Linked DNA regions of Lepisosteus oculatus. The protein of the gene in region 1 binds, or shares a complex with, the protein of each later gene. Links are inferred from orthologs where the notes say so. Each region holds a gene or a part of one and is shown on either strand. Other genes may lie near its edges. The genes, in order: tubgcp5, mzt1, tubgcp2 and tubgcp3.

The links.
Region 2: the proteins of tubgcp5 (region 1) and mzt1 are in contact, whole or in part, in a crystal structure (PDB 6L81), measured with the Homo sapiens proteins. The link is inferred for Lepisosteus oculatus from reciprocal best matches to the Homo sapiens genes TUBGCP5 and MZT1. Residues at the interface, in NP_443135.3 of Homo sapiens: Gln14, Gln15, Asp18, Val19, Glu21, Leu22, Val23, Val26, Ala27, Gly28, Asn36, Ala40, Phe43, Ala44, Asn47, Phe48, Arg52, Phe53, Leu54, Phe72, Lys80, Ser83, Trp84, Leu87, Thr88, Glu90, Phe91, Ala106, Ser109, Ile110; in NP_001065243.1 of Homo sapiens: Glu23, Val27, Leu28, Glu30, Ile31, Ser32, Ile34, Leu35, Asn36, Thr37, Leu39, Leu44, Ile46, Cys47, Val48, Arg49, Leu50, Cys51, Glu52, Gln53, Ile55, Asn56, Pro57, Glu58, Ala59, Leu60, Ser61, Ser62, Val63, Ile64.
Region 3: tubgcp5 (region 1) and tubgcp2 share a complex: the UniProt entries of both Homo sapiens proteins name them as parts of the gamma-tubulin ring complex. The link is inferred for Lepisosteus oculatus from reciprocal best matches to the Homo sapiens genes TUBGCP5 and TUBGCP2.
Region 4: tubgcp5 (region 1) and tubgcp3 share a complex: the UniProt entries of both Homo sapiens proteins name them as parts of the gamma-tubulin ring complex. The link is inferred for Lepisosteus oculatus from reciprocal best matches to the Homo sapiens genes TUBGCP5 and TUBGCP3.

The regions. Positions count from the first base shown.
Region 1 is NC_090710.1:22,064,499-22,072,474, forward strand, and holds the start of tubgcp5 (gamma-tubulin complex component 5), read left to right. Parts: upstream 1-4,958; 5' UTR 4,959-5,462; coding exon 5,463-5,596; intron 5,597-5,811; coding exon 5,812-5,865; intron 5,866-5,973; coding exon 5,974-6,082; intron 6,083-6,466; coding exon 6,467-6,563; intron 6,564-7,740; coding exon 7,741-7,820; intron 7,821-7,976. Other genes in the region: chst7 (carbohydrate sulfotransferase 7), read right to left, coding at 333-1,586. UniProt on the Homo sapiens protein: Component of the gamma-tubulin ring complex (gTuRC) which mediates microtubule nucleation.
Region 2 is NC_090710.1:33,537,656-33,545,468, forward strand, and holds the start of mzt1 (mitotic-spindle organizing protein 1), read right to left. Parts: upstream 3,019-7,813; 5' UTR 2,859-3,018; coding exon 2,768-2,858; intron 1,561-2,767; coding exon 1,415-1,560; intron 169-1,414; coding exon 145-168; 3' UTR 1-144. UniProt on the Homo sapiens protein: Required for the recruitment and the assembly of the gamma-tubulin ring complex (gTuRC) at the centrosome.
Region 3 is NC_090699.1:17,551,322-17,558,453, reverse strand, and holds the start of tubgcp2 (gamma-tubulin complex component 2), read right to left. Parts: upstream 3,011-7,132; 5' UTR 2,861-3,010; intron 2,251-2,860; 5' UTR 2,242-2,250; coding exon 2,092-2,241; intron 1,107-2,091; coding exon 978-1,106; intron 882-977; coding exon 708-881; intron 290-707; coding exon 133-289; intron 1-132. Other genes in the region: znf511 (zinc finger protein 511), read left to right, coding at 3,438-3,647, 5,599-5,672, 6,368-6,569. UniProt on the Homo sapiens protein: Component of the gamma-tubulin ring complex (gTuRC) which mediates microtubule nucleation.
Region 4 is NC_090710.1:26,101,170-26,109,049, forward strand, and holds the start of tubgcp3 (gamma-tubulin complex component 3), read left to right. Parts: upstream 1-4,867; 5' UTR 4,868-5,013; coding exon 5,014-5,089; intron 5,090-6,810; coding exon 6,811-6,918; intron 6,919-7,349; coding exon 7,350-7,417; intron 7,418-7,880. Other genes in the region: atp11a (phospholipid-transporting ATPase IH), read right to left, coding at 1,809-1,847. UniProt on the Homo sapiens protein: Component of the gamma-tubulin ring complex (gTuRC) which mediates microtubule nucleation.

The DNA.
Region 1 (7,976 bases):
TTAGCATTTCTTTTTGCTGTAATAAAATCATTGGATTGTGTTCCTACTCAGTTCAAACAGATTATTATTTTGGATGAGTAGTTGAGAGATTTTTTATTCTTTAAATTGTGATTTACAATTCTTAATTCTTGCAAATAACTTCTGAATTTATAACTTACAATTAAGCCGATACTATTAAATGAATATTAGATCAAATTACAGTTAAAGACAGGGCAGCTATCACTGGTAACACAATAGCAACGTCTGGATGTTCTAACACAATGTATTCATTGTGTATTTATTGGCGAAACGACATATTAATACTGTACCTTTGTTCACATTTTCGTTCGCCTCTATGTTTTGTCCACGTTTGTTTTCTGATACCCCAGCTTACGCATGACCTCGCCGCAATATTTCTCGACTTGAGCGACCTGTTCAACGCTTAACCTCTCTCTCCAAGCGTAAATGGCTTCCTTGGCATCCCTTGACGAAATAAGAAAGGGCCTGTCCGAAGAGTAACCCTCGCCATGGGTCATGTTTATCACGAACTTTTCAATGGCTGGCGAAGAGGTCAGATTGGAGAAACTGTACAGCCTCTTCAGTTCCCGCACTGGGTGTAACACAAGGTCCTCGTAGCGCAGGTGAAGGTAGTTCCTTCTTACCCATTGGGGTGCGTTCATGATGTGCAATATGTCGTTGAGCCAGTTATCGCATATCACCTCCATAGCGGTAGATACATAATTCTCCACTCGCGTGGACCTGTTGGGTATGAGAAGGCGCCTGTATTTTTCCGTCTGTTTCCTGCTTCTCAGCACTTGAATGCTTTCTTTCACCAGTGCCTGTTTAGATTTCAATCTGGAATTGTGGACCGCCCGGGGGTCTCTGAACAGCTGAATCACCTGGAGGTTCAGCCCGGGGTCCCTAATCAAAGGAACCAGGACACCAAGATCCAGGACCCGCACGTCTTTTATGACAACAACGGGATACTTCTTGCACTCTCTCTCTAATTCCCTGATGTCTTTAGGTTGGCACTTGCCGCAGACCTCTCCGTTTATCAGCCCAACGTCGTCTCTCCTGTGAGCACTGCACAGAGGCTCGGAGCAGATCACCTTGTTCGTCTTCCATCCGAAGATAAATGAGGTAGTGAGGTTTTTGTTGCCCGTGTAGAGTTTTAAAACGGAGAAATCGCAGCGGTAGAGGGAGTTCATCATGTCCCTCACCGCTCCTTGGAGACTCCCTGCATCACCCGGGTACAGGGTCTGCCACATATTCCACATGGGTTCATACAAATAAAACACATCAGGATGCTGGTTAAATAACTCCCCTAAAAAAGATGAGCCTGTTCTCCAAGTTGCATGAAGATAAATGTGTGTTTTCGTTTGGCTCCTATTGATAAAATTTTCCACCGTCTCAGATTCGTTGCTGGATTTATCTCCAATATTCCATAACTCCATTGTGGTTTCCAAATCGGGGCATTTTGATAGTGGCAGTTCATTCCGGACCTGAGCTCTTCTATTTCTGTATTCCAACACATAAGGAATGAACAGGAGCAATACGGAGTACACTATAATTAATATGAGATATTTCTTCTGTAGCCTCCTCTTCATTTCCTCAGCGACCGAAGCGCTTAGCGCACTCCTACTGATTTAGCACCCCTACATGAAGCCTGACTCCGGCTTTAGACAAACTTTGAGTTAGAAAAAAAACCGGTATTGTCAATCGCCTCTGAACACGCCCACTGCATTTCAAAATAAGAGCCGATAGTCACGTGTGTCCCCTTTTCGCAAACTATCCATTTTCATTAGAATGGAACTGTATTTTTCCACAAATGTACAAAACGACATAAAAAGAAACTGTCACGGGGAAAATAGCATGTTTTCAGCTACGGGCAGACTTTTGAAATACATGCAATTAAGAAATGTCCGTTTTGAGTTACTTGCCAATAAAAGTCGATGTATTACTAAATCGAGTTAAAACTAAAAAAAATGTTAAAACTATGGAAATCGCTTGAATGAATAAAGTTTGCAGCTGTGTACTTTTCCCTCAAAATTGTTATTGTAATTTACTGCCATCAAGCATTTTGTGACAAATGAAAAGGTTGTGTTTCTGTGTAAGCTACAGAGCTGCACTTATAAAGACATCTATTTCTGAGTGTTGGGTACAATATGCAGGAAACTACGCAAGATTTATAGACTTATTTCTCTTCTTTGTGCAGCATGGCGCTGTAATAAGGTTAACCTGGCATTTTCTTACAGCTGCATCGAAGTGTTTGGGAGCATGGACAACCATCGACAGGACTGTTCACTGAACTTCCAACCTCGGCCAAGTTTCAGTGGTGTAAGCGAAACTTAAATTCCAAAATCCATTTCACATTTGACCAAAGCCCCGTTTAAACAATAGAGTAAGACGTAAACAGCTTAAAACACTGTAAAATCTATTTAGTGTGCAGCCATGCCAATTTATGTGACAAAACCTTGATAAAGCACACAGCTGTCAGAAAAACTGCTCCGAATTCATTCAGATATATCACTTACTCTGGCACAACATTTTAATTACCCTACTGGAGATGTAGCAGATGCACTGTTCTTGGAGAAAAATGCTGTCTTCCTCTGCAAATATACATTTGGACACCCCAACAGATTAGCACCTTGTCAACTAACAAACATTTTTCCACATATTTAATCCAATTAAATGAGAGATTTGTAGGCTCGTGTATTTTCTTTAAGTATTCTAAACTAGCTGTATATATGGTACAATATTCCCCCTTGACCTTGTGTGCTTACAAAAACGTTTGATCTTTTAATACAGAATTACCAGAGTTACATTAAACGGGACTTTAAAAAAAAACAATTTTTAGTTTTAATAAGAAACATGTATCTGAAGCACTGAACTCAAAATGTTCTTGTTGAATGCGCATATTGTACATATCTTCAAATTCGCATTGTCTTCATCTTGTTGCCTTTGTACTATAGTAAATTAGCAATAGCAATAAACAGTGAAGTTACTGATGCTGTTTGTTCTACTTTCTAAACATGACCTTTTCTCACAGAATATTACATGTACTGTAGATAAAGAGCACAAGGGGTAGATATGGAAGCTCAATTTTCTAACTGGCTAAGGTATGCCTAAAACCAGAATTTCAACCCACATATCATTGGAAATAGATAAATATGTCCTGTTTTCGTAGTTTCCTGTTCTACCAGGGTATCTACACAAAGGAATGCCACCATCACATGCTTCATTTGGAGATGATTTTGGAGTTTCAATTCACTTTCATATGAAGGAATTTTATTTTTCTATGCTGAAGTCTTGAAGGTGCCATATAATGTGTTTGCAAAACAATAGTTACTTAGTTTTTTTAAACGCTTAAAATGTATAATGACAAAATACAGAAGTAAACAACAAGAGATTGTAGGCATTGCTATAAAAATCAGAAAATAGTCATATACTGTCGATATCACGTGTAATCACATTATATATTTTATCTCAAAAATGCAACGTGCTTCGTGTTATATCTCCGATTTGGAAACATCATCTTTTATAAGATAAGATAACTTTATTGGCCATATACAATTTCTTGTATTAGGAATTTGTCTTTTCACATACCCCAGCTTGCGCTCCGTGAGACACACAGACAGAGAGAGAAGCTTGAGGTCAGAGCACAGGGTCATCCATTTATATGGCGCCCCTGGAGCAGTTGGGGTGAAAGGCCTTGCTCACGAGCCCAACGGAGTAGGATTTCTCTACCGGCCGCGGGATACGAACCGGCAACCTTCCAGCCACAGGCACAGATCCTTGCAGATGGCCCAGATTAAACCCAGACGTCACTTCAGAGTGTCATTTGTATGGAAATAGGATTTTAGGGAGTAGTCTGTGTAGCTTTTCAATAGACAGGCCTTACTTGACTAATGTGTTAGGTTTATGTGTAAAAACAACAGGAACATACAGAGCATATGAGACAGTATATTTACATTTTCAGGAAGCCTTTACTCACAAAATTGCTTTTGGTAGGCATTCAGGGTAATGTGTATGATTAGAGTGAAAATTGTTTAATGAATAGAAAACTAAGAATAAAGATAAGAGCTGAATACTCCAACTGAGGAATGTAATTAGCCTGTGGTGATCTATTTAAGGATCTGTCGTCTTTCTAATTTATATCAACAACCTAGATTCTGGTGAAGTTCTAGTTATTTAGCTAGTCAGGTTTGCAAAACCAAATTAGAACAAGCCGCAAACCCTGTAAAAGTAAAGAAAAGTCTGGACTGGGCTCACACTAGGAAGATGATATCTAATATAGACAAGTGCAGAGAGATACATGCAATGAAAAGAACCATAAACTGTACATGTGAGATGGGGAGCAACCTGCAGAAGCTGTGAAAAAGCCTTAGGTGTCTCTGCTAACACATGCTTTATGTTTTCTAGACAAGGAAATGATAAAAAAAAACAAAGAGACGTTTAGATTACTTAGTTAAAAGTGTAAGATTTAAATTGAGGGATGTTATATTAAAATTGGAAAATGCACTGAATGTAAGATCATAATTTAGAAGACTGTATAAAGTTTTGGTAACTCTGTTACAAAAGAGATATTTATGTTTTGGAACCAGCTCTGAAAAGAGCCACCAGATTCCTTTTTCAGGCTTAAAGAAATGGCCGTGGCTGACAGGCTAAAGGATCTGCGTCTTGTCATTCCAGAGAAGACTAGAATTCTATTTTCTGGAAGTCTTAAAAATGATCATGAAGCAGAATACAAATACAAAATGAAGAAAAAAAAACACTTTAAAATTTGGAAATAACAGAAAAGGGCGTAAAATACACAATATGGCTAAAGAATATACATAACATGTCCTTATTTGGTAAGAATCAAAATTACACTTAAGATTTTGCTTTATGTTTCTCAGGTCTCTGCTTGTAAAGAAGTCGACGTCTACACGTGCTGTTTCTAGTCTTCGCTTTTCCAGGGAAAGTAACTGCTCGGCCAACAGAAACACAGAGGAGGGAGGTTCGGTTGGTAGGAGCCGCTGTACACAGCAGTGATGGCGGAGTCAAAACAATTCTGTATTCAACAGAGAAGTAGCCTTTGTATGATACATAATTAAAAATAAACAGTTAAATAAGAACAAATCGTTTATAGCCGATATCGGGATATTTAACTGTTGCATGCTTTTAAGCGAAGGATGCTGTACATCTAAGCTACGCAAAGCAAAAACAAGCGATTTCTGATAGTGTGATTGAACACAGTTCGTACTCGTATTTATTGTAAGCAATAATTTCGAGTTGGATGTATCGTCTCATGTAGTTTATGGTTTTAAGCTGTATTGGTTGTGCTCAACTCAAAGCCTATCCCTTCTGCATACTTTGACCACACATACGAGAGAGTCCGGATGATCGTGCCTAACGTTTACAGTAGAGTAGTATATATAGTCTGTATAGTATAGTCTATAACTATAGAAACTGGCACCGGAGGTCCCTTACTTAGCATCACAATGGCTCACTGGACGAAATTTGAAAAAGATTTGGAAATCGATACGAAGAGGCTAATAAAGCTCATCAGTGGGATACAGGATGAAGAAGACCAGAATTTCCAGATGGCATTAAAGTTTGCCTGGACCAATTTCAGGTGAGGGTTTCATGAGTGATCCCAAGGCTCGGGCCTGAATTCACATGGCAGAGGAATGTATTTGCTGCAGTCTTCATTCTCAAAGGCTGGCTTTGTCACTGACAGTACGTTTGTGAGAGGGACTAAAAGATCCGTCTTCACATTGAGTTGTAGTTCTTTTGCCATATATGAACCAAGACACTGACAAAAGCATTGTTATGTGTTTAAATTTGCAGGTTCCATCGATACTTAGATGTCAACAGTCACAAGGTGCAGCGTACAATCAGTGGGTAAGTTCAGTCGATCAAGCAGATTAAATATTCTTCTTTCTGAGGAGATTCTGAAGATCAAGACAAAGCGCCTACAAGAATGTGACACTTTTTTCCTTTTTGTTTCAGAATCCATGAAAAGCTAATAATTCACTCAGATCTGAGCAAAGCTACAAGCTGGAAACGACTGACTGAAGAATTTCTGAATGCACATCTTCCAAACACAGAAGGAACAAAAGTGATAGATTGTTATACATCTTGTGAACTAAACAGCTTGTTTCTAAGATTTAAGATTTAAGATGTGATAAGATTTATTGTCCATTGAGGGAATTTGTTTGTGGACATCAACAACAACAAAATTGAGCATCACTCTATTGCACATTTATAACACATAATAACATATAACATATATAACATTACAAAACATGTTGCACACAAGTGGATTGTAACGATAAAACAATGTTTATCCTTGCCATTTGCATTGACAGCTTTAATGGAAAGTGGAACAAAGGAATGTTTGTATCTGTTTGACTTACATTTGAGAACCCTAAAACGTTGTTGAAATGCGCTAAACTAAAAACAAGAAAATTAAAAAAGCATTTTTTCTCTTTTTTTTTTGCAGACAGAAACCCATCACAGTATCCTAGCTCTCCTACTCTATCTTTCTGATTCTCCTTCCAACACAGATTACACTGAGAGGCCACGGCTGAAGGATGCTGGTAAGTTAATGGACATTAACATAGCCACAATGAGTAACTGGTGTTCACACAACACAAACTTTGTGTTTTGTGGCCTTTTTATTATCTCTGTATTTTCCGTAATAATATATCTTAATACCCAGTATACTACTGGAATAAAGATGAAGCATCAGCACACAATTAACTCTATAAAACATGATAGGTGTTATTCATCTGGCAGAATGTTGCAATAATTGAGTCGTCAGTTTAATTCTGTGCCAAATGTTAATCTAACACCTGTGAATATGGTGCTTTCTATGATAGTCTTAGTTGCTGTATCTTAGATTTGGCATTTTGACTATCCTAATACACACCTTTGAGAGACAAATTCCCATGAGCCATTACAATGAAGAAGTGTGCACAAATAATACAGTACATTTATCATCTGCATGTCACTAATTGATTTCCCCAAAGCATGCTGTCTCATTCTGACTCAGCATATTACCTAGACTTTTTGGAGTTGTTTGTTTGTCTGGGGGAACTATGAGCACTAACAATAACAGAGGCTCTTCTGAGATGCACAGCAAAGTAAACAACGGTAACATTTACATAATAAGAACACCTCCTGTAAGATTCATTGTTCTGACAATGAAGGTTTTGTTTTAAACAGCAGTACCAAAAGCGCAACTAATTCCAAAAATCTTTGAATAATTTGGAGCTCCTGATTCCAATATTCAGGATTTAAATGTTTGTTTGAAATGCATGCCAGTTTTGAATTTTTAAAAACTTTGGATGGAGATAGTACCCATCTCCAGGCAGCAGTGTGGAGTAGTGATTATGGTTATGGACTCCTTACTGCAATGTTTTGGGTTGAAAGGTCAGCTGCTTTTGTGCGCTTGAGCATGGAATTTCAGATCACTTCAGTGAAATCCCCAGCCGTACAAATGTAAGTTACTTTGGACATAGCGTGTGTTAAAAAATACGTTAATCTCTGGGATACATTTCATGAACTCTCCTGTGGCTTCATATTACCATTTACAGAGTGAGCATTCTCCTGAAGAAATAAAATCTTCTGAATCTTTAATCTGCACTCCCAGTTGTTTGAAATAAACCTTAAGATCTGTCAAATGTCAGAGCTGCTATTTCATTTTCACATTTTCTGTTTCATATTGCTTTCTGATTTTTGATAAAACATTCGAATTTATTTTATTTTTTCAAGAAAAAGAAGACAATTTTGACTGGGGTAAATATTTGATGGAAGGAGAAGATATTGACATGGGCCCTTTTCCAGACACTCCTGTAAGTGAAAGGATACTAGTTTTCTTAAATCCTTACTGCCTTATTCAATAGCTGGCTTGCACTATTCATTACTGAAAATACTTTCTTGCAGAACTTATAGGAATGTTTCTCAAACCGATCAAGCTTCAGCTAATGTCAAAAGTATTTATGCTGTTA
Region 2 (7,813 bases), about 11 Mb from region 1:
GATAAAGAATGTAGAACTTTGTTCTACAAAACTGTAACCCTTTTATATGTGAACAAAGAATTCTTTATGAAGACATATCTTCCCCAGCTCTGTGGTTCCATCTTGTCGAAAACGTTTGTTCAAACAAGAGCATCTTGGTCTTTCTTAGCTTGTGCTGTTTTCAGAAGTCTGTGGAAAGAATGTAAAAAATAGAAAACATTAAACATTAGTAAAGCCACAACAAAAACTTCTGAGGTCCATCTTATCACATTATACACACAGGTCTGGAAACTTTTTATTTAAAATAATTTTGGAAAATGGCGTTTTACACAAGTATCTCTACAGAAAACTTTGGATTTGTTTTGCATGTTATGACAATAAAAAAAGAATTGAAAGCATTTTCTTGGTATTTGGAAAGCCCAATACACAAAAACAAACATCTGTTATTGTGCGTTCATGTATTTATGACTCTAATTACAGTCAAGTTTTCTTCTGAACTGCCACTTCACATCACCATGTTAAAATTAAACAGTATTTAAATCTGATTTAAAATAGGCTACAGTCATTGAATTGAATTAAATCAGTGAGTTGAGTTAAATATTTAAATCACCCAACCTTGACCTCTAGCACAAAAGCTGTTTACCTCAAGAATTAATTTGTCTCAAACAAAATACATTACCATAAATTTGTGTTCTTTATAATTGATTACAGGAATAGAACAAATATCATAAGGTCTAAAATAATTAATGGTAAGAAGGTCTAAGGGATTTTGTGTTTTAACTTGCTATGATAGCAGTAAGTAAAGCTGCAGAGCAGTGGAAGTGTACAAATACGGTCTATCCACATCAGAAGAGAACTATGCTATGGCTGATAGTTAATACAGATGAGGCCAAGTACCAGTGAATCCCAGGGTTCACTGGGCTGCTCCAATACTGTCAAGTTACTTTATTCTCAACATGAAAACTTTTTGAAGTTAGAATCTGAACTCAGTTCCAAGGGGGTGATCAAATCACTCTGCTAACACAGGAGTTATTCAGGAACATCAGAACTCCTCAAATATGCCTTGAGACAAAGCATATTTACATAGTACTAGAGACTGAAATTCCTTTACTAATTTAACTTACTAATCTATAACTGTTGGAAGTCTCGAGTCTTAACTTCAGCATACAGTCACTTTCAGCCACAGAAAAAAACTAAATAATTAAGCTCCTGATTACAGTAACAGAAGGTAAAGACAACAGAAAAGGTGTACATCTTAAAAGAAGTTACATCTACTTTCAGATAATATTTCTGCAATGTGCAGAAAGCTTATCTTGTTCAAGTATTCCAACTGTGACCGATACCATTTTCATAAGAAGGATTCCATATCCTGAAGCAAAAAAAAACCCAACAAACCATGTTCTTTGAACCTAGAAAGAAAAATATTGGCTTGTACCTTTAGTGCATCAGAAGCTTTACGGAGCTCTTTTATAACTGAAGAGAGTGCCTCAGGATTGATTCCTTGTTCACATAGGCGAACACAGATAGAAAGAGATTCCATGTCCAAGCCTGTATTAAGAAGCCTTGATATCTCTAGAAGAACTAAGAATAAACTTGTGTTAGTTAGGCTGTGCAACATTATTTCCATCAGCAAGTTCTGCTATGCTATTGTACTTATTGCTCCTTTGATTCTTTAGGTTTGTGTGTTTAAAACAAAAAGAAAGATTACAATGTCCATTTTTAAATCCATGCTGAAAAAAGAAGAAAAGAAATACAGAGTTTCTGTTGTGGAGCCTTCTCGGGTATGAAGAACACCTGAAGAAGGCTCCACAGCTGAAACTTTGTATTTCTTTTCAGCTGGGATAAGCCTTTACTTGTTCCTTTGCAGCCTACACAAGCTGACGCTCAACAAAAATCACTAAATAAGACTCCAATGGACTCACTTTTTCTTGTTGAACAGGATATAACAAACACATAATACAAAACAAGTATTTTGTTCAGTTTGAGGCCAGGTTAGGTTTCATCTAGTAATGTATCTATTAGTTTCTCGAAAAAAGAAAAAAGGCATGAACAACATGGACAAACACAACTTTAAGTATCTTACCACTGAGCTACTGCACTTTAATTTATACAGTATAGCTTTAATCAAGGCTTCTGCTCTCAAGCTTTAAATTGTGATCTTTCAGCTCTTAATTCCAATCTTCATTTGTGCTTGACTGTCAGGTAGGTGATCTGATCTTTGCTTATTGTCCTTATTAACTGTGGGAATGGACTACACGCTACTAGGCTACCTTTCTTCCTGTGTGGTATCCACACCACTATCTTCAATATGACTATTCATGTGCCTTGCATTGCACTTCCAACTTGCACTAGTCGTATTCTTCATTTCAATTTAACTTACTTTATGTAAATGATTTTACCTAATACTTTTCCCATATAGTGTACAAATCCCTCTGAGTACACCTACACAATAAGTTATACTGCACATAAAACCAGGATTTAGTCAAACTTTGTATATAACAGAAATAAAATTATTTAAGCGTTACTAACCTATACATTCCGTTCAAGTTCCCAATGGGATTACTTTTTTAAAATACAGGACATTAAAATCGAATAACAACAACGACAAAACGTCAATAGCCCAAGAGGAGCAGTCGGCCGCAGCGGGAACACTGGCGCGGATTTTATTATTAATATCAACGACGTGTTCAATCGGATAAACAACGGTAACACCGAATCAGTTTCATAAACAAAAATGAACGTCCGATCACGTTCCACGAAAATCACAATAAAACGCAGTGTTTCTCACCGTCCATCGTTTCCCGCACAGCGTTCAGATTAGCAGCGCTTGCCATGTTTACAGTGCTCTGGCTCATTTTAAATTGCGACCCGGTAAACATGAACTTGAGTTCATGTAGGAAAAAAATCAAACACAATTAAATCCTTGTAATTTTCTGTTCTATACAATCTATATTAGTTGTTCTTATAAAACAATTTCGTTCAGAAATTTGTATTAATACCATTAGTGTCACTTTTGTATGTAATAAAGTTAGGTCATTTTGAAGGGAAGTTGCGTATGAAGGGTGGGGCTTTCATTCAAATTCTTAGAGAAGTCTTATTTTGAGTGGCCATCTGTGCTTCCGGGTGTCGTTTATTGGTGGAGAGACAGCACCTGAGGTTACAATTGGTGGGGAGAGACAGAAGAAGGAAAATTAAAGTGAACGATTTACCGAGAACTGTGTGAAAAATAAGAATTGCATTTCAGGCATAGATACGTAAGTTATATATATTTTATTGTATTTTGATATCAAGTTTATTTAAATGATTGGGAAAGTTTATGATAAATCTCAGACTTTCTGAAAACTAATGTTGCTAACCAACTATGGCTCGCTGCTTGTAGGTTAAATTTTACTTTCCTAGTACAGTTGTTTCTTTCGTCTTAAGTCGATTGTGTCTGCAGTTTCTTAAAGATGTAGGATTGTTATATCCATCGCCTAAACAGCACTAGGCGTTGATTAATTAACTTTGTACTTGACATGTTATGTAATGTTTAGTTTTAGTAACTTTTATTGCTGATCTCGGCAATTTTGGAGTGGAGTTTAATGGAATGAAAATGAACCGTCTTAGTTTATCTCAGTTTCGATAGTACACAGGGAATATTGTTAGTCATTCATAGTTAAGTTAGCTAATAAAACAACACTGTGACACCCTCACCAAAGGAGTATTAAGAACTGTTTTAAAATATTGTAACAGATCACTTTCAGTCAGTTTCATGTTGTATTATTCTATTCTATTGAATTCAGGATTGCACTTTGATTTGCTATATCCAAGTCTATTGCTTTGTCGTTGGATATTATGTTGAAATGATAGTTAAATTTGTGTCCTCTTGTTAGATGTTAATTTGTGTTTGGTCACTGTCTCCTTGAATAAAGATACAGTACCAGCTGAATAATGTTCATTCTCTCTAGCCCTTTGGTAGTTTAGTAGTAAATGTATCCAAGGATCATATCCAACCGTTTCTTAAAGGAAACCATTGTATCGTCTTGTTGTCTTGTGTTTCACTGTTTATTCTAAAGACGTCTGCTGGGGTGTCTTTGTTAATGCCTGTAAGGATTGTGAATACTTCGGTCACTGTGGTCTTTTCCACTAGAAAGAATAATTTCCTTCCGACTGTCCGTGTAGGACGTTTTTTTAAACCATTGAACGTATCTGCCTGCTGCTATTGTTTGGATTGATTTTTATAGTGGCAATATCCCGTGCTAGCCAAAACCGTACACAATATTATACAGCAAATAAAGTTTTACTAGTACAGTAGTAACAATTTGCATTCTACGTTTTTAAGAAACCAACATTTTCCCTTTTTAAATAGTTTTTTTTCTCGAGGAGCCTCTTTAAGTTCAACGTTTCTCATGGTGATTTTTTTGTGCTGCATGTAGTGTTTGTCCTTTGTCATTAAATATAGGTCTTGAATTTTAAGGGGTCCCTTGGCATTAATAATAATAATAATTGCTTACACTTATATAGCGCTTTTCTGGACACTCCACTCAAAGCGCTTTACAGGTAATGGGGATCCCCTCCACCACCACCAGTGTGCAGCCCCACCTGGATGATGCGTTGGCAGCCATAGTGCGCCAGAACTCTCCCCACATCAGCTATCAGTGGGGAGGAGAGCAGAGTAATGAAGCCAATTCATAGATGGGGATTATTAGGAGGCCATGATTGGTAAGGGCCAATGGGAAATTTGGCCAGGACACCAGGGTTACACCCCTACTCTTTTCGAGAAACGTCCTGGGATTTTTAATGACCACAGAGAGTCAGGACCTCGGTTTTACATCTCATCCGAAGGATGGCGCCTGTTTACAGTATAGTGCCCCCATCACTATACTGGGGCATTAGGACCCACATGGACCCTGCTGGCCCCACTAACACCTCTTCCAGCAGCAACCTTAGTTTTTCCCAGGAGGTCTCTTACCCAGGTACTGACCAGGCTCACACCTGCTTAGCTTCAGTGGGTTGCCAGTTGTGAGTTGCAGGGTGATATGGCTGCTGGCATAGATCTCCAGGGGATAAGTATACCCTACCAACTATACTTAAGGAAACAGGAGATGTCATTCATAGGTTATTGATACAACTGCTTTAAACCCTGTTGATCCCTACTCTTTCTGTTAACTAGTTCTCCACTCATACATACATTATCTAGAATACATTCTGCTTGTGATTTGCTAATGAATTTTAATGAGGACCTTTATCAAATTCCGTCTGAAAATGTAAATATCCCAAATTGCATACTCTGTCTATTACTGCTGTAATGTTAGGATCCTATTTCCAGATAGTTTTCATAACTTTAAATGTAATAGAAGTCAGGTCTATTGGTCTGTAATTATTTGGTTCTGTTTTGTCACTCATATGGATAGGCACTAAATTGTGCAAATCTCCCATCAATTGGTCAGTCACTAAGACTACCCGTGTCTTGAGTGACTGTTGGAGCAGTTGTATCAATAACCTATGAATGACATCTCCTGTTTCCTTAAGTATAGTTGGTAGGGTATAATTATCCCCTGGAGATCTATTAATCTTGAGTGCTTCTAGTACTTCAAACTTGATGTTAATCCTTTTTAAGAATGATCCTTTGTCCTTCTGCTGCCCCAGGTATGTTGTTGACTTTTCCCCCCATGGTGAACACCTGAGAGAAACACTCATTTAGTACATTGGCCATTTCTTTTCTTTGCTTAGAAATTACCCCTTATTGTTGTGGATACAATTTTTTCCATTCTTAACGTATTTTGCTGTTGTAGTATGGAAAGAAACTTTGATTATTCTAGCCTCTATTGCACTATTCCTTTCTATCTCTTGACCTTTCTAGTTTCATTTCTAACCTCCGCTTGCAATTCTTTGCAGCCTACACATGCTGATGCAGCCACCTACTTCAACATCTGTATACTAAGTTTTATCTTCTGACTTATTCACTCTTGAGTGAAATCTATTCTGTGCTTCAAGCAGAGTTGGTTTTGAAGTGGTGTAGACCAACGTTCCCTATTCAATATTTATTCTATCCCATTTTCTTTCATTGCTATAAATTAACTTCTGATATTGACTCAGTCTGGATAATCTCAAAGTCTATTTCAAAATCATACCATGTTATGATCACAGGTCCTAAATTGTCCTTCCTCTTTGTCTTGGTTTTATGTCTGAAAAGCCAAGGGAAATGAAAGCATTTCCTCTTGTAGGTGTGTAGATATATTGAGTATGAAAAGAGCTGTTAACTACATGCACCATTTTGGTTTGTGCTGCTGAGAATCCTACACGTCAGTTGTTGTTGGTTATTTGGCTGTGGAGGAATGCTGCAGTCTGCTCCCCCAGGGCTATCTGATGCCTTTGTTCACCTGCTTGGTTGTTGAGACTTCTTTGTAACTTTCATCAGTCATTTCTGAGTGTCCAAAATTCTCCACTTCAAGGGTCTGCTTCCAACAACATCAGCACACAGTACCTTATGCAATCTCTTCTAAACTTGCTTGCCTTTATTTCAGTTTGTAGAGCTCTTAGTAGTTGATGATGAACAGGCATGGGTGGGAATGCCCCTGTACTATCCTCTCCCACCTCAGTGCTTTTTTGCTTTGTTTGTTCCATTGGGTACATTTCAGTCAACACCCATGAGGCCAGTTCTGAAACTGGAATTGACACGACATTGATGCCAATTGCATGAAGAACTTGGTCAGAGCAAAAATCAGAAGGGACAGTGTTCCTCCCAGACCGGCACTGGAAATCTACGCTATATGGCTGGTGGGCAATGTTGAAGTCCACTTCTTTTGCACATATATTCATCATTTTATTATACAGCGTTTAATTTTAATTAACATCTTCAATTGCTGCTCTGTAGCATACTCCTAACAGTACTTTATAACCCTAGAATGTTTTTTACAAGTATGACCAAGTAGCCTCAACTCTATATAGCCTAGATTCTGAGACTCTATAGCTCCTGATCCTGAAGGCACTTTTTGATATATAGAACTGCAGGTCTGTCTCTTCTCTTTCCTGTCTCACTGGAACAATGTGTGTCTAGATAGATACTTGATAGCCACAGGCGCAAATCCTTAGCCACAGAGCCACCGCACTGCCTGTGCATCGGTTTAATTAATCCCGTAAGGGAAATTGCAAAATCTATTGTTACATTCATCTCAGTTGTTCTTGTTAGCTATGTTTCTCTGTTTCCAGTTATATCATAATTGCCTGCTAATATGGTACTGTAGTTTCCATCTAATTTTTTCTTAATCATTTATTTAGGTATAGGAATGTAATTACCTTGTCATTTGTTTCATTTTCCTTTTGGTTTTACTTTTACTTTGCCCCTTATCTTTTATTTTATTTGACTTCTTTCCTTCAGTTTTAATTTTTCCAAATCTCTTTTGAGTCCTTGTGACTGGTGCCAGTCTCATTCCAGTGGAAGCTGTTATGTCTGTGCAGATCTTTGCCACAGAGAGGCAAGAAGTGGTTAAGAAGCTGAGGCTGCCTTCTACACACTGTCCTTATCTGTTAACACAGCACATGGATTAGCATTTGAGCTCTGTGTGCAAGGTACCTGGCAAGGTACCTCTAGGTCCTTGTTGAGTAATATGGTGATGAGTTGAATGTCATAACATATTCTTTCTTCTCTGCAGTGTTGGCTTGATAGTTGCTTGTCAAGCATTTCAGACTTGAACTGCAGAGACTATCCGGAAGTACTGTTAAAACTGTAATTGGGAGGTGCTGCTTTTCACAAAAGGTTGTGGGGGTTTGGAATCAACTACTAGCCTTGTTGTTGAAGCTGATCAATTAGGTACTAGCCACCATACAGGCTAGATAGGGTCATATGGCCTCC
Region 3 (7,132 bases), on another chromosome or scaffold:
TCTGTTCATCCACTCCACTTGCTGTAATGCTGTAATAGTAAACGTTGAGCAATGCGGCGTGGATAAAATTAAAACTCGGTCTCATTTTTCTGATGTGCAGAGAATTGCACATCGCAGCTTAGAAAGACTTACCAATAGGCACTGCTGAGTCAGTCCCACTGGAGCCGGTGATAAAATCCCCAAGAAGAGCAGGCCTGTCGTACACCCAGTTGGGAAACACTGGAATTGGCTGCAGGGGACTCTTCTTATTGTGTCTGTCCCTCAGCATCTTCCTCGTCACCTCGGAGGGCTACAGGAAGTCAGGACACACAAGGGTGGAGTCCCGCCTTTCTAAACGTATTTACTTTGCTCCAGTAAACTTAAAGCAATCAACATAGAAAAATGCAAAAGGAAATCCTAACGCTAAAGCTTGTGCCGTGCAAAGTTAGAGCATGGGACACAACATTATTCTACAAAGGTTATTCCCGACTGTACAAAAGGTCTCTAACCATACTCCTGGGAAGCTTAAATGGCTTCTGCTACTAATTCGAGGCAACATTTCAGCCAACTTTTGGTTTAATAAGCCCATGTGAACACTTTCTTTCAATCACAGACTGGGGCTCTCTGTTGCCAGGGCTCTTCAATACACACAGCAGTGTAATGTCTCTGACTTCTTAATCACAGGAAGACAGAAGAGACTGAGGAGCCTAAAGAGGATATGGGCTTACCTGCTGTACACTGGAGCTGGCTGCCACATTCCCAAGTTTCTTCCTTAGCTCCTCCAGCTCTTGCATGGACATCTTTGTGCTGGTGGCAGGGATGCTGAAGTTTGTGCTGCTGGAGGAGGCACTGGCTGACTGCTCAGATCTTTCCTTGGCATTCTGCTGTAGACACTGCAGGGTCTAAAAAACAATGAAATACCCGCATTTACTGTAAGACTGCTACAGCCACGTCCCTCACATCAAAGTGTTTTTATTATCTGCAGGTACTTCCATCACCTCCTTATCTTCAGTCAGCTTGGACAGCAGGTAGACCAGAGGATCCACGTTTCGCACATTCCTGGATTTGAGCTCATCGTATTTCTTCAGGAAGTCTTCTGGTGTCTTAGAAAATTCCGCTATTTTTACCTGCAATGAAACATTTTCTCAGTCAACCGATAATTGGCTGGTTAAATATTTCTTTTAGAAAAAACAAGACTGATGCAAAACAATGGTACTTTGAAGAGATAGCCAACATGGATTTAGAAAGGGAAGATAACTTACTGGAACTTGCTGAACAAGCAGTAAAGACAAAAGTTAACACAAAAGTAAAGTAAAGTTTCTATTTATCTTTAGGCCAGTTTCTCTTTCCTATATCAGCTAATTTAGATTCTGCTATATTTCAGAAACTAATTAGATTTCCAGAAAACGCAAACATAGGAGAGGCGCCCCACACAGAACTTCAGCTACTGAACTACAAAGACACACGGATGAAATCAAGGACAAGGAATCACGTGATTGCACATGAAGTTTATGTCAACAGTGCAATCTGATCCACAGAGGAACACACACTACACATACAGTATCATAATACTATGGGTGACTGTGACCTGCAAGAACATATGGATATGGAAGAGACAGATGTGTTTATGTAGCATTCTCTTTATTGGCTGTGGGGAAGCAATGAAAAAGCACATACAGTACAATGCTTGCTACAGCAAATATTGTTCAGCTTTAATTAAGAGACAAGGACCAAAAGGGAATATGTTTAGGATTAAAACATCCTTTAAATGAAGAATGGTGGTTTCTGGAGCAGGCTTCCTAGCTAAGTGGTTGAGGATCAAACTTTGTTCTCCTTCAAGAAATGACTGGATGAAATGTTAGATTCAGCTGATAAACTACAAGCACAAAGCTTGACAATGAGAAAACGAGTAAGAAAAACACCTTGATTTGCACCTGGTCTCCCTTTCATTGGAAGGAACGTGGGTTAGAAAACATAAAAAGCCTTTGCATGTCAAGAGAACGGTGCCAGTCTTAAATCCAGAACTTTAAACGTCGGTAGGACAGAGTGAAGAAACCGAAACATGTGACAGCAGTCTGCTCCACAGTGGCCGATATTACCCCCGATCCCCACCTTGGCGCTGTGCGCGGACACTGTTGTGGTGACGTAGGGAGTTCTGTTCTTCTGCAGCAGGTCGATGTACACCTCGGCTCCATCTCCTCCGCGGACATGCAGCAAGCTGAGCAGCTCGTTCACGTCGTGGTGAATCCGGAACTCGCTCATGGCTACTCTCTAGAAGGGGAGAGGGAGACTTCCGAATAACCATGCTTTACAATAATAAGGAAATAAAAATGTATAAAAGGTCTGGTGGCTTTTTAATAGATGGAAAAGGTGTATAAAGGGATTTTTTGACAGTAGTTTTGATGCAGACTAGACGTGGTTGTCACTTTGAAATGTACCAGGAGCATAAATTACGGGAAGAAGACACTACTTTGAGGAGAATCATACAAAGTTACAAGAGCTGAACGGGTACGGATACAGCAGTACTGTACAAACATCCTGCTTGCGAATTATTTCTCCAACAGTGGGCAAATACACAGATGATGCATGTACACTAGTAACAGATTTTGTCAGTAACCTACCTTTAGGACACTCTAGATCGTTAAAAGAAATGTGTACTTATTTGTTGTCTCGGTCCAACGATGTTTATACTGTATTCGACCACAAACTAGACCGCTAGCATCTAGAGTGAGTTACACACAAACAGCAAAGATGCTGAGAACACCAGCACATCGGATACACAAATAAACCAGTAATTAATAATTCGTCTTTATCTTCGGTTAATGACCAGCATACTATAATACAAATACAAGTAATAAATGTGTCAGCCAAATGGACTTACCGCCCCTTAGCAGCGCGAAACACAAACACTGCACTTCGCTCCGCCCTGTAAAAGCTTCCGCCACTGCAGGGAAACAGTATCTCACCAAAGAGGTTCCTCCCCGACACCCTCCAGTCCACAGCCTCAAGACTGTAAGGAGCAAACCGTAAGAACATTTGACTTTCACAGTCAATGGCTGATCCTCTTTTCATGTAAAAATGGTTTTGGATACACATGAAATGTGTATTTCTGCATGTGTTCCCAACGTAATCATTTAATGTTTGTTTTTGTTTGGCAATAACTGAAACTGCTGAAGCGTTTTACACTCTTCCAAGGTTGCTGTAAAAGTGCAATTGCCTTCCAGATGTCGCAAATAAATTGAGATTTCAGTCAAAATTAGTCCTTTGGAGCAAACGCAATAAAATTGCTCAAATGTTTTTTCGGTTACATAGGAAGTGTCCGTCTCCATCGCCTCTAACCCCAGGAGCAGCAGGACCACGGAGACACCCTGAGCTGGGCCGCGCCTGCGTCATGAAGTGTAGCCGAGGAAGCGCAACAAATGACGTAACAGCAGCGTGCTTGCGATATTGTAACTGACATGTTGCCGCTCGAATTAATCCGGTTTTTAACAGCAGCAGGCACCAGCAGCACCGACATTCAGGCGATACCAGTCCTGCCAGTCCAGCGGATAGCAGAAGAGCCCAGTGCGGTACAGCAAGTCAGTGGCGATGGTGAAAACGTCTGCAGCTCGCCTTTTGATTTCACTCCGCAACGAATACGGTTAAACAAGGACCACGAATTATTTGAAGTACGTTTTTTTTTCGAATTGAGTAAGAACTGTGAATTAAGCGACTTAATGAGACTTGGTGCTGCTCAGTTCCCATGACTGCTTGCTGTATGTGTGTGTAGGGTGGGCTGTGCTCCAGGGTTTCTACGCCTCGGCAATCTCTGCAGTCTCTGCAGCTGCTCCAGTGCTGCTGTAGCTCCGACTGCTTCCCACCGAAAGCCTTTGCATAACTCATGCTTTCGCTACCTATTTCCGTGTCACTATATGTAATGTGCTCTGGAGACAAAACATGCAAAATATGGCGGTGTAGTTTTTTTATTATACTTTTTTCATCTTTAGAATCAACATTTTATTCTTTTAATTCATAATAAACAAAACAATCGGAAGGAAATAAAATCGGTCTACCAAGAAAGCAATAGGAATTTTCCATGCAAAAACTGAGACCAGCCTTCTCATTATTTTTGTATTCCGGTCTCCGTGAGTCTTTGTGATGATGCCGTTGTAATAGAAGTTATTCAGTATACAGACCGGAATGCTCCCACAGGTGTGCGGAGCCTGAAAGGTGCTCCAGTCCTGCTGGCCCAGGAGATCTGATGAATGTTGTGGGAGTGCAGTTCATTAGCAGGGAGACGCGCTGCAGAAAGACGGAGATTGAATTCCAGTGTGGAATGAGTCACGCGTGTCGACTCTTCTTGAGTGGGACCTGTGTCCGTAACCTTGCTGATGTTTTTATATTCGACTGGACGATATTTTTAATTTACCACAACTCAAGAGTTTCAGAATTAGTTAAAGAAGCATCTTGAAGTGTTTTAAGAATCCGTTGGATTCTTGAAGCCTAAAATGATATAGGACATACTGTAAGGGGACGTGATTGCTATCATTTTCGACAGGCATGGTGTCTTTCCTTATATGGCTTAGTGGTTGGCACCGTTAAGCCTTAAAGGATGAAAATACGTGATGCATCTTCCAAAGGGTGTTTGCCTTCTCATCTGTATAAAACCTGAAAATCAATAACAGAAATTGTTAGTTCCACGAAGAGATTGAGAACTCATCTGAAAGGCATGCAGCAGACACTTTGATGCTCTTGGGCAGCAGTGGGCATTCCTGCCCCTTTCTTTAAATATCCAGCTGCTTACAGCTCAGACAATGGTCGGTGTGTTTTCTGACACATGCAGGCGCGACCGTGCAGGAATGGGGTTAAACAGTGGTGCTCTGTGGGACTGATTAAAGCTGTGGTCCTCGTGACCTCGCACCTGCTGGGTGTGTCCAGCGGCCCGGACCTCCAGGCGCTCCGCCGAGCCCTTAATTCAATTAACTACTTGATTATTTCAAAGGGTTGGGTGTGTGAAGCTGTTACACAGCTAGAGGTTTTATGACAACTGAAGCAGCTGAAAATGCTAAAGGCAGATCATTGAATTAAGCAAATTATTGGGTTCAGTTAGGGATCAATGAAGCAGCTCTCAGTCCAGCTGGAAGGAAATCTGGAGACAGGAGCCCAGGAGGGGGAGGTGATTCTCGTTACTGAGTGTCAGATCTAGGGCTTGTGGCAATTCAGAGGAAATGGTTCCCGAGTGAAGGGTATTTTGCATTCATAGAGAAATTCCAGAGGTTATTTTTTTTATATTTGTACATCCTAATGCAGCCCATTGCCCAGTTAGCTCCTGTGCCTTGAAAAGACAGGTGTGTGTGGAAATTGGTGTATGCATGTATTTCTGTCCATAACCGCATCAGTGATGCATTGTGTCTCTGGAAATTACTCCACAAATATCATTCTTTGAGATTTCAGTATATGTGCAATACCTGTGCTGTATGTTTCCTAAAAGGTCTTCATTTTTAGTTCTATCTTTTTGAACACTCTGTATTGGTGATAGGAAAGATTGTTGGGGAGAGTTTATTCTGTGCAGAACATTGACTATACCAACATGACATTTCTTTCTAAAACTAACCAGAATGGCTGTGCTTCTCTTAACAGGATGGGGATATACAGAGACATCTGTACCTGCAAGATGCTGCCACTAGTGTAGCGGAGGCAACTGATAGGCCAAAGTAAGTATCGACAGTCATCGCTTCCCATGCATGTGGCTTTCTGAAGGAGCATGGCTAGTCTGCTTGTCTGACCTCCGATTTGCAAACAGCCATCCTGGCTCCCTGGACGGTACATTAGTTCCTTTGCTAGAACTGCACAATTACCTCTTGCTAGGATGTATGGTGTTCACTACATTTCGAAAGAGGGATTAGTGTTGGCTATGTACAGTGTAATAGCCATTGTTACAGTTAATATAATAGTGAACAACCTTGTTTCAGTTACAAGGTCAGTGCTAATGCAGCTGTGTGTAAGACTGGCAAATAGTTAAACAGCCATAAGAACACACTCTAGGAAATGCAACCTGTTCCCTCTAAAACCAAGCAGTTCCCTTGAAGATTCGGGGTGGTTTTTGTTCTGTAAAGCCTTCTCTCCGAAAGGAATGGCGATCATGACAACACTAGGTGTTGCACTTTTCGAACCTCTCATTGGAAACATGCCCGGCAAGTGATTTCATATGGGGAAAACTCGTCTCGAAGGGCTTTGAAACTTTGGACGGAGAGACCTGAAACACGTGGGTACAAACCGGAGTGTACGCTACGGCACAGGGCCGAAGCGCCCCAGCTGTGACCGGAGCCAGTCCGCTCGCGTTCCTTTGAAGTTCAAAAGCCTGGGTGCCCCCGCACCCACACAGACACCCCCACCGTCTCCCCTCCAGGGTTTCAGAGTTCCAGTGCCACATCGCTGGCTGCAGGGAGCTGTTCGACACGCTGGAGGGCTACGAGCATCACTACAACGCGCTGCACCGGAACGTCTGCGGCCACTGCAGGCGCTCCTTTCCCTCGGGCCGCCTCCTGGACATCCACATCCCGGAGTGGCACGACGCGCTGTTCCAGGTCCTGGCGGAGAGGCAGAACATGGTTCGTCCCCCGCGATCTTGGCAATGGGCGGGAGGGGGAGCCGATATGCTAAGATATAATCTTTTCCGAAGAAAACGCTTGTTCCGCGACAGATGGGATAACATATCGGTACTCTAAATAGCGCTAGCGTTGCACAATCCCTCAACGGACTCCAATGGACCTAGTGTAGTGTAGGAACAAGTAAAAGTTTATTCCACGCTGGAAAAAGAAGAAAAGAAACGCAACGTTTCGGCTGTGGAGCTTTCTTCGGGTGTCACCCGTGTTTCTTTTCTTCTGTTTACAGCACGGAATAAACTTTTAGTTGTTCCTTTGCAGCCTACGCATGCCGACGCGGCTACCTACTTTATTTTGTGTAGACATACATCAAGTTCATTCTAAAGATATTTTTAAATGACGATATGACTTCAACTTGTAAGGAGCTGTAATTCCAAAAGATGGGTCAGGTGAAAATAATGATGATGCACAGGGTTATCGTCTTTTCCGTATTGCTGATGTTGAAATGCTGCCATCTAGCGGTGGCGGCAAGCTGTTCGTGCTGCTGATGTAGGGGGGGCGGAACGTGA
Region 4 (7,880 bases), about 4.0 Mb from region 1:
GGGGGAACTACTTTTTTATTCTTTTGTTTACAATATTCCTAAACGGAGCACAGTAACAGGTTTCAAAAGAAACACAAATTAGAAACTTAACGCAGCCGCTTTCTACACTGCAACGGATTAAGATATAAATAACACCTACACTGATCCAATCATTTGGCCATTTTAATTTTGACCTTAAAACCTCATTTCCAGTTTTCGCCTATGTAGCAGCAGCATAAATGGCTTAAAAGCAAAACGTCTATAATGCTTTAAAACGGTCAAGGACACTCTTTTCATATCGATCAAAGAATAAAGAGGATGAATTATGTAATGCTGGAGGATTATATTATTTTTTTAAACATTATAAAAGCATTTATATCAATTATAGCATTGTCATAAGCTTGTTGTTAGTGGGTGCTTGGTTTACAGGATTTAACGGTTTGTTCTGCATATCAAAATTGCATAAATCATAATTCCGTTTTTAATTAAGATGTCTTTGCTATAATCCAGCATGTACATGTCTTCTAGAAAGTCACATTTATTTTCCCTTTCAATTATATTATATTACTGTTAGTACGATACATAGTTTTCAGAAACAGTCAGTATTGTGGGATCTCTTTTGACGCAACTTGCCAACTTGATAAGATAATTAAACGTCTGATCTGAAGTTAAAGGAATAATGTTCTTGCAAACTCTCGCAGGTGAAATAAGTCTTGCTTTGATTTTGCCACGAGGACCGCACCAGAAACTACATCACAAAGTTAAAGTTTAAAGTTGTCTAAAACTTGAGGAATGTGGCATTGCGCACAGCGGAAGAATTGCGGACTTCAAATCCCCACCGGTATCCGTGCCTTCCAGTGCTTTGACATTTTGATAGAAATAAAGGCGAACAGTACTGTGCATTTTCTTGGCAAGATTTATTTGAATAAAACGACAGGTTCCTTATTTTGGTTTGTTTTGGTTTTCCAACATATTATTTATCATATCACAACTCGTTCCCTTGTATAATTAGCTTATTAAAGAAGCCAATGCAGGCCGTATAATTCAGCAACGGTTCGTGGCTCAGTCTCTTATTGCGTATACATATAATTGCATGTGCAGCGAAGAAATTAATAACTACGTTTTCTTCGTCAGCCAACGTGTTTATCGTCACTGGTGAGGTACAGCCATATCGCAGCAGGTAACTCACAACCCGCACTGTAAGCGGGTTAAATTCTTGACAGGGTGTCCAAAACTAAGTCTTGATAAAGGCGTAGGGGAGGGTACGTGACACCCCAGGTAGGATGTACACATAGACACAGTGTTATCGATCTGCCCTTTAAATTAGCAGCCGGAAAGCTGAAAAGTGACAACTATCTGAGTTAAGTGATCCGGTCTGCCTGGGGTTTCTCAGGTAGCTAAGCTTCACACAAAATCATTCTGCAAAGCAGGTGGTTCATATCGTATATCCCTCAGCATTCGGGTTTCCTGTGCTACTCTAATTTTGACAAAGTGACAAATATTACCGCTGCTGCCCGATTTATCCGGGGGGGGCGCCGGATTAAATCCCGGCAGACTTCTCCATTCCGCTATAACAAGTGGCAGCACACCTCAACGCACGCACACCTACTCCACCAACGCCATGCTGCACTGAAAATGCCCCCTGCCTTCCCCTCCTGCTCCGTGAACGGGTCAGAGTGGCATCTTCACCATTTCCCGTAAACCTGAACGAGATACGTCTGCATCCCCCCGCGGGGACGGCGAGTTAACACGCGAGCCGAACCAACAAGTTACAATAAAACGAGCGACTTGATGTCACGGCAGCAACACGTCGGTGCGCTTTTACTTACGTATCTATTTATGAGGCTCCGGAGAACGCTGCAATCCATTCCTCCCGACAGCTTCCAATTGTTCTTTTGGATATTCACTCCCCTTGCCGTCAAACGCCGAAACCGCTAGCTAATTTTCCTTCCTCTCCTAAGATCCATGCCGCGACTGCCGGACACCTGACTCTACAGTAGGTAAGTGTGGACTGACAGCAGCGTCCGACGACCGCAGTTCTGCTCCTTCTCACCTACGGATCCCGAGCACGTTAGTCAGCAGCAGCAAGAAGCGTGTTCGTAGTTTTCGGGGCTCCTTCATTTGCACATAATGTCTTTGTACTGCGACAAGAATTCAAACCGCAGTTTATTTTTTGCTTGGTTTTTTGTTCCCCCTTGACGATGTCTCTCTTTTCTGTTAGTCCCGTGGTCCCGCTTTCCCTCCTTGACGATCTGCCTTCCCTTCTCTTTTTTTTCCTCCTCCTCCTCCTTCTGTTTTATTTCTTCCCTTCTTTCTCACCTTCGCCGTACCTATAATCCTGCCTCGCTCCAGCTCTGGTGAGCTTTTCTTTCAGCGGACGTCACGGGGGGCGTGGGCGCTTGCGCACTCCGTTGTCACACCCACTCGTGTCGGAGCAAAGCGGTGTGCACCAGCATTGATTGAAAAAAGCTCACGCGTAGCTCCATCGGCCGGTGGGTGCTTAGTTAGTTGCCGGTAGTATAAAGATTTTCACATAGATTTTTTTTTCTTACAGCACAGTGATATCATTCAGTGGTTATTGAATTTCAGCGAGGTTTTAGGTAAAAGCGGACTAGACGCAAAGATATCACAGTAAACACGTCTTTTCATCTTTTGGCTTCATACAGCTTCCAAGAATCAAGCGTTATGTCCATAAAGTGTGGTCAGTGCTAGATGAAAAAAAAACATATTCAAAGTTTTAATACATACATTCTACTCCCAGTAAACATGATAAATGAACATGTAGGAGCAGTAGTAGTAGTAGCGATTAATTCCAATCCGCCAAAGTCTGTTTTATAGAGACTTTTATAAAGTTTTATAAAGTTGCAGCAACTTTGAATTTTGTATGAGACCTAAAGCAGAGTGAATGGGACACTTAGTAAAGTATTATGCAAAAATGCACAGTTTATTAAATTAAATATATTTGTGGTGATCCATTCATGTTTTGAGCGTTTTCAGTATTGCATTCCTGTAATTGTAATAGTATAAAGTGACTCAAATATATTTCAGCTGCACAAAAAAGCACTTCAAAACAAGTACCCCTGTTTTTAATAAATATGCTGTAGTTGTTACCATTATGTTGAACAATTTATTGTTAAGTGTTCAGAAGAGAATACTCATCAATCAGCTGTGCAATGATTCATTCATACACGTACAGTACCAAGTGCATGTCCTGGACACAAACAAAATATCCTACAACTTGAAGTTAGTGCATTCTTGTCTGGAAAAGATCTGCCCCGAAACCAAAATAATCACAAAGAAAGCAAAATCCAGGGTTTTGTTAATACCAAAGCTGACACCATCTGAGGTTTTTGAAGAGGTGCACGAAAATGCAATAAATCCAAGAAAGATGTAAAATTATACTAATCGACAGCACCAGGTTGTATCAGTAAAGTCTGCATAGTGTTCTTGCTCATGTAAGACAACAGAAGGGTTTGAATATGGCTTGGGGGGTGGGGTATGTATAGGATATGTAATCAAATTCAGCGATTGTTAACCACTTAGAAATAACTCAAGAGCCGCATCCAAACCATATCGGTTACCAACTCATCTTCCACACTTTGTTGCTAAACGCAAACAAGGGCATGGACATACGTCTTTGGCATTCTAAACTGAGATGTGTATCTAACACCATGTGACAATGAGGCAGCCGAATCAAACGTAAGAGTGTAAAAATAAATACTTAATCAGGCTGAAGCTCGTCCATGGATCAAACTTATAACATATCCTTAATGGAGGACCACTTGCTGAACAGTGTAATCATCAATACATCAATACCTTTTTCCTGATTATTATTAGTTATTAATGGACCTTGTCTCCTGTTAAAATTAACGCAGCAAAGGAAACAATTGTCAGCAGAGATAACGTTATTTTTTTTAAAGACTACTTTATATTCCCTATTTATCCTTTACATGCTGGAGTAACTCTTAAAACGTCTTCAAGAGTTTTCATTTATTCTGCGCCCTGTGGAAAGCAACCGAAGCTAGCAAGAGAACAAAAGTATTATATCGTTGTTATTGGGATTAATTCGTTTTTTGTAATAAATTTTGACTTGATTGCTTACTTGCCTGACAGCTAGCATACGATTTTCTTTTAAAAAAATGGAAATCATTGAATTTTGTTACATTGCTGTTTTTTCATCTTTTATTACAAATATTCCACAAACACTAGTCATTCGTAATAAAATATTAACAACTGAATGCATAAATAACACTTTCAATGTACTTTGTATGTTTATATTTTGGATTCTACGTTCTGTTCCTTATTAATACATACAACTAATATTGAAATCAAATAATCAAAATAATATTGATTTATATTTATCACACAAGTACAATGAGTAATATACAAGAACAGGTCGTTAACACGTCAATTCTAATTCAGAATATTGATAATATGCAGATTATATATTAAATTTGATGATATTACTATTTTAATTGCAAACAGCAAAAACACTAGTGGAAATAAAGAAGATAAATGCAGTTTATGGGATCTATTGTATTTCAGACCTTTTTGCCAGATTAGGAATATAACCAGTTTTCATCAGGTGCGACACGTTTGTGAACAAAATGTTCTTAAAGACCATATAAACGCTTTTCATCTACAATCTTCACCTTTCGAAACTCCCCCAAACGATATTTGACGTGTCGAAGAAAAGAACGATCGTGCAAGGCAAGTGCAGTCGTGAAAATTGAATTATCTTCGTTTTCTTAAGTGATAAACCCCAACGCACGCCTAAAACAGAAAAGGTAGGAACTGATGTCATGCTAGGAACCACTCTTGCGTTTCTCGTTCTTCGGAGGGCAGTATTTTTGTTCGATTCTCCCTTGCCTTTCGGAGGATTATGGGACACCTCCATAGATAACACAGTGAAGAGCGCTGTCGGCGGGTTTAGCGAAAATGGCGCCGTTGCTAAGAGCGGAAAGCCACGGCAAAAATAACGGCTGCAGGTAGATTTGGACAGCGACCCGGAGCCGTGTCAGACAGATCCCTGATATGGCAGGCTTGGATCAAAAATCGCCCAACGTCTTGCTACAAAGTCTCTGTTGCAGGATAACTGGGAAGAGCGAAGGTAACAGCGGCAAGGGGAATATTTTAAGTAACGTGCTTGTTCCATCATAGTTCAACATCATACTGCATGAGCACAGAGAATGAGTCAGTAGATGTTTTTACAGTAAGCATATTGGCAGAAAACAAATCAATAAGGCGACGCCTAAATGATCGTCTTTCCACGTTGGAAGCAGGAGTTTTTTTTGACGGAGTAGTGAATAAAGCGCCTTTCCTCGCTAACAGTCCCCTCTTTCTCTGACTGTTGAAATCTGCAGAACAGGCCAGTGTTCATCTCTTGAGCAGATGTCTGGTATCGTTAGACACATTTTATTTGATAAAAACAACTATAATAATTACGCGGTTTTAATTCACGATGGCCGGCAGCAGGCGAGTTTTTTTATCTTGCTAGTTGGGGGAAGACTCATTTACCATTTCTATTTGTAGTGAATGTACTGGCTGGAGAATTGGCCCTGATGAAATTATGACATGATTGGTAGGTCGATAAAGATGGAAGAAAGTAGGGATATATTTCTTTGGCAAAGAAGCAAAAAAAGTCCTTTGTCCTTGAGCTGCTATTGTAATGTGATGAAGAAGTGCTTTTATTTGAAAGACTCCAGTTCACAAGCGTATAGTTTTGTAATCTCCTGTGCCAGTGTGCTATTTATCTTATATACTGCCTTTAATAGCGCTTTATAACCGATATCGGATATTATGAGCTGCATCTTAATTGGCACAATATGATCCCAGAATTTTTGTCAGATGCAAAACTAAAAGTATGAGCACGGACCTTAATAGGTTGGTAAATCCTACTGTTTGTGAGCTTTTAGGGAGTTTGTGATCTGGAAATTGGCCGAGGTCAAGGGGGGAAGTTCATGGCTTCAAGCGTTCTCATTCCCTACCCAGCCTCTCAGTGGGGAATCTTAGTGGTTTATCTGGACTCCCTGCAACTGAAGGTGAACAGATGGGGGTGAAGACAGTTCACGTTTAAATAACACAGGAATGATTTTTTTGTATTTATCTCTAGTCTTAAAAAGCAACTGATTCTTGTATACCAAAATCCAGAATGTGCCTGAAGCTGTAACTGTGAAGAGTCGTTTCTAACTGAAATTGCAGGACCCTTTATTCATGTACTTTTTAATACATTGTAACTTCAGGTGTTTTAGGGAAGAATGAATAGACTGCATTTAGAACAGTCTCACTGGCTGCCAAAGAAGGTATTATTCCTCATGAAGGCCTTTGCTGCTTTTTGATTCTTTGTATTCTTGGCAGACTGTTGTTAAGGAAGTTCTTCAGCTGTAACACCAAGGTCTTTATTCATGTGGTGAAAGAGGAATATGGTGCATTGTGATTTACATTGGCCTAAATCTGAGACATTTGGTTGCTTGTTGTTCTCATTCTTCTCTGGTCCCCTTTGTCTGTAGGGCTCAGTGACATTCTCCATTTTTAGTGTCTTTATACTTACATGATGGCATCACAGCAGAGACCCACTTGTTCATGATTCAGATTTGCTGGGAGTCACAGTCTTGTTGTCACAAAGCACACACAATTTGGTTCCTTCTTATGGCAGGATGTTGAGGTTGAAAGCTGAGTTTAAGAGCTTAAGAATTTTCTTTTCTTTAAGGCCTGAAAATCTCTGTGACATTATCCACCTGTGTGATATCTCAGTTTGCTGTGGTGGCCTGTAATCTCGGGATCTGTTGGATTGTAGTTATTGTCATTAAAATTATCTTCTGCTTTTTTCAGCCGATGTCGCCCACCAGTTCCAGTATGCTGTGCGAGTCATTGGAAGTAATTATGCTCCTACAATTGAACGGGATGAGTTTCTTGTAGGTGAAAAGATCAAGAAGGAACGTGAGTTTGTTTAAAATAAAACCTTTTGATGTTGCATGTTTTTTCAGAAGTGTTAATTAATATTGCAGTATTAATATTAAGCCCTTAATAGTATGCTGTATGTAATTTTTTAGTTTTTTTAGTTCGTGCATCTAGTTATAAGTTCTGAAAACTTGATTTCTGTATGTGTCAGAAACAGTATCCCTTAAGATTTCCATTTATACGGTTCCATAAAACCTCAGTTTATATTGTGATCATCTATATCTTAATTAAACAACACTTCTCTGGGCTGAAAGGTTTTTATTGTTTTCTTAATGGCAAATGTTTATCTCTGGGAAGAAAAAACAATTACATTTGGGAGATTACGCCATATTCATGTCACATAGTGTCATTTTAATATTTAATGTGATTGTGGTGTTTATCATGATTTAACAGGCACTTTATTTCTGCAGTTGTGAAGCAAAGAAGAGAAGCAGATGCAGCACTTTTTTCTGAGCTTCACAGGAAACTTCAGTCACAGGTTTGTTTTTTGAGAAACGTATTGAAAACAAAACGATAATACATGAAACGCAGAACAGATAAGGCTACATTACCTTTCAGTTTGAATACTCTCTTCTATTCCAGTATTGGTGGTATTGCTTTTGTAGCAAGGCATTTGAGGCATTAGGTTAATCATGCAAGTGCTTGAAAAATGTTAAATATTTACAGATTTGAAAAGGTAAAACCACTGTATGGACTCTGTAGGTTTGTACAAGATATTGAAATTCTTTGCTGCTGCACAACTCTTAACTTTATTTTGGAATTGAACTGAATGACTGTTTAGTTTTATATGAAGCAGTTGCTTGGTATTATAGTGCCAAGCAGATTTGCAGATGTGTTTTGGTCACATCTGCAAAATGTAGTATATGAAATTGGATCTTTTGCAAAAATGCTATTTCAGCAGAATGCAAAATCCATTACTAAAATATGTAATTGAATATAAT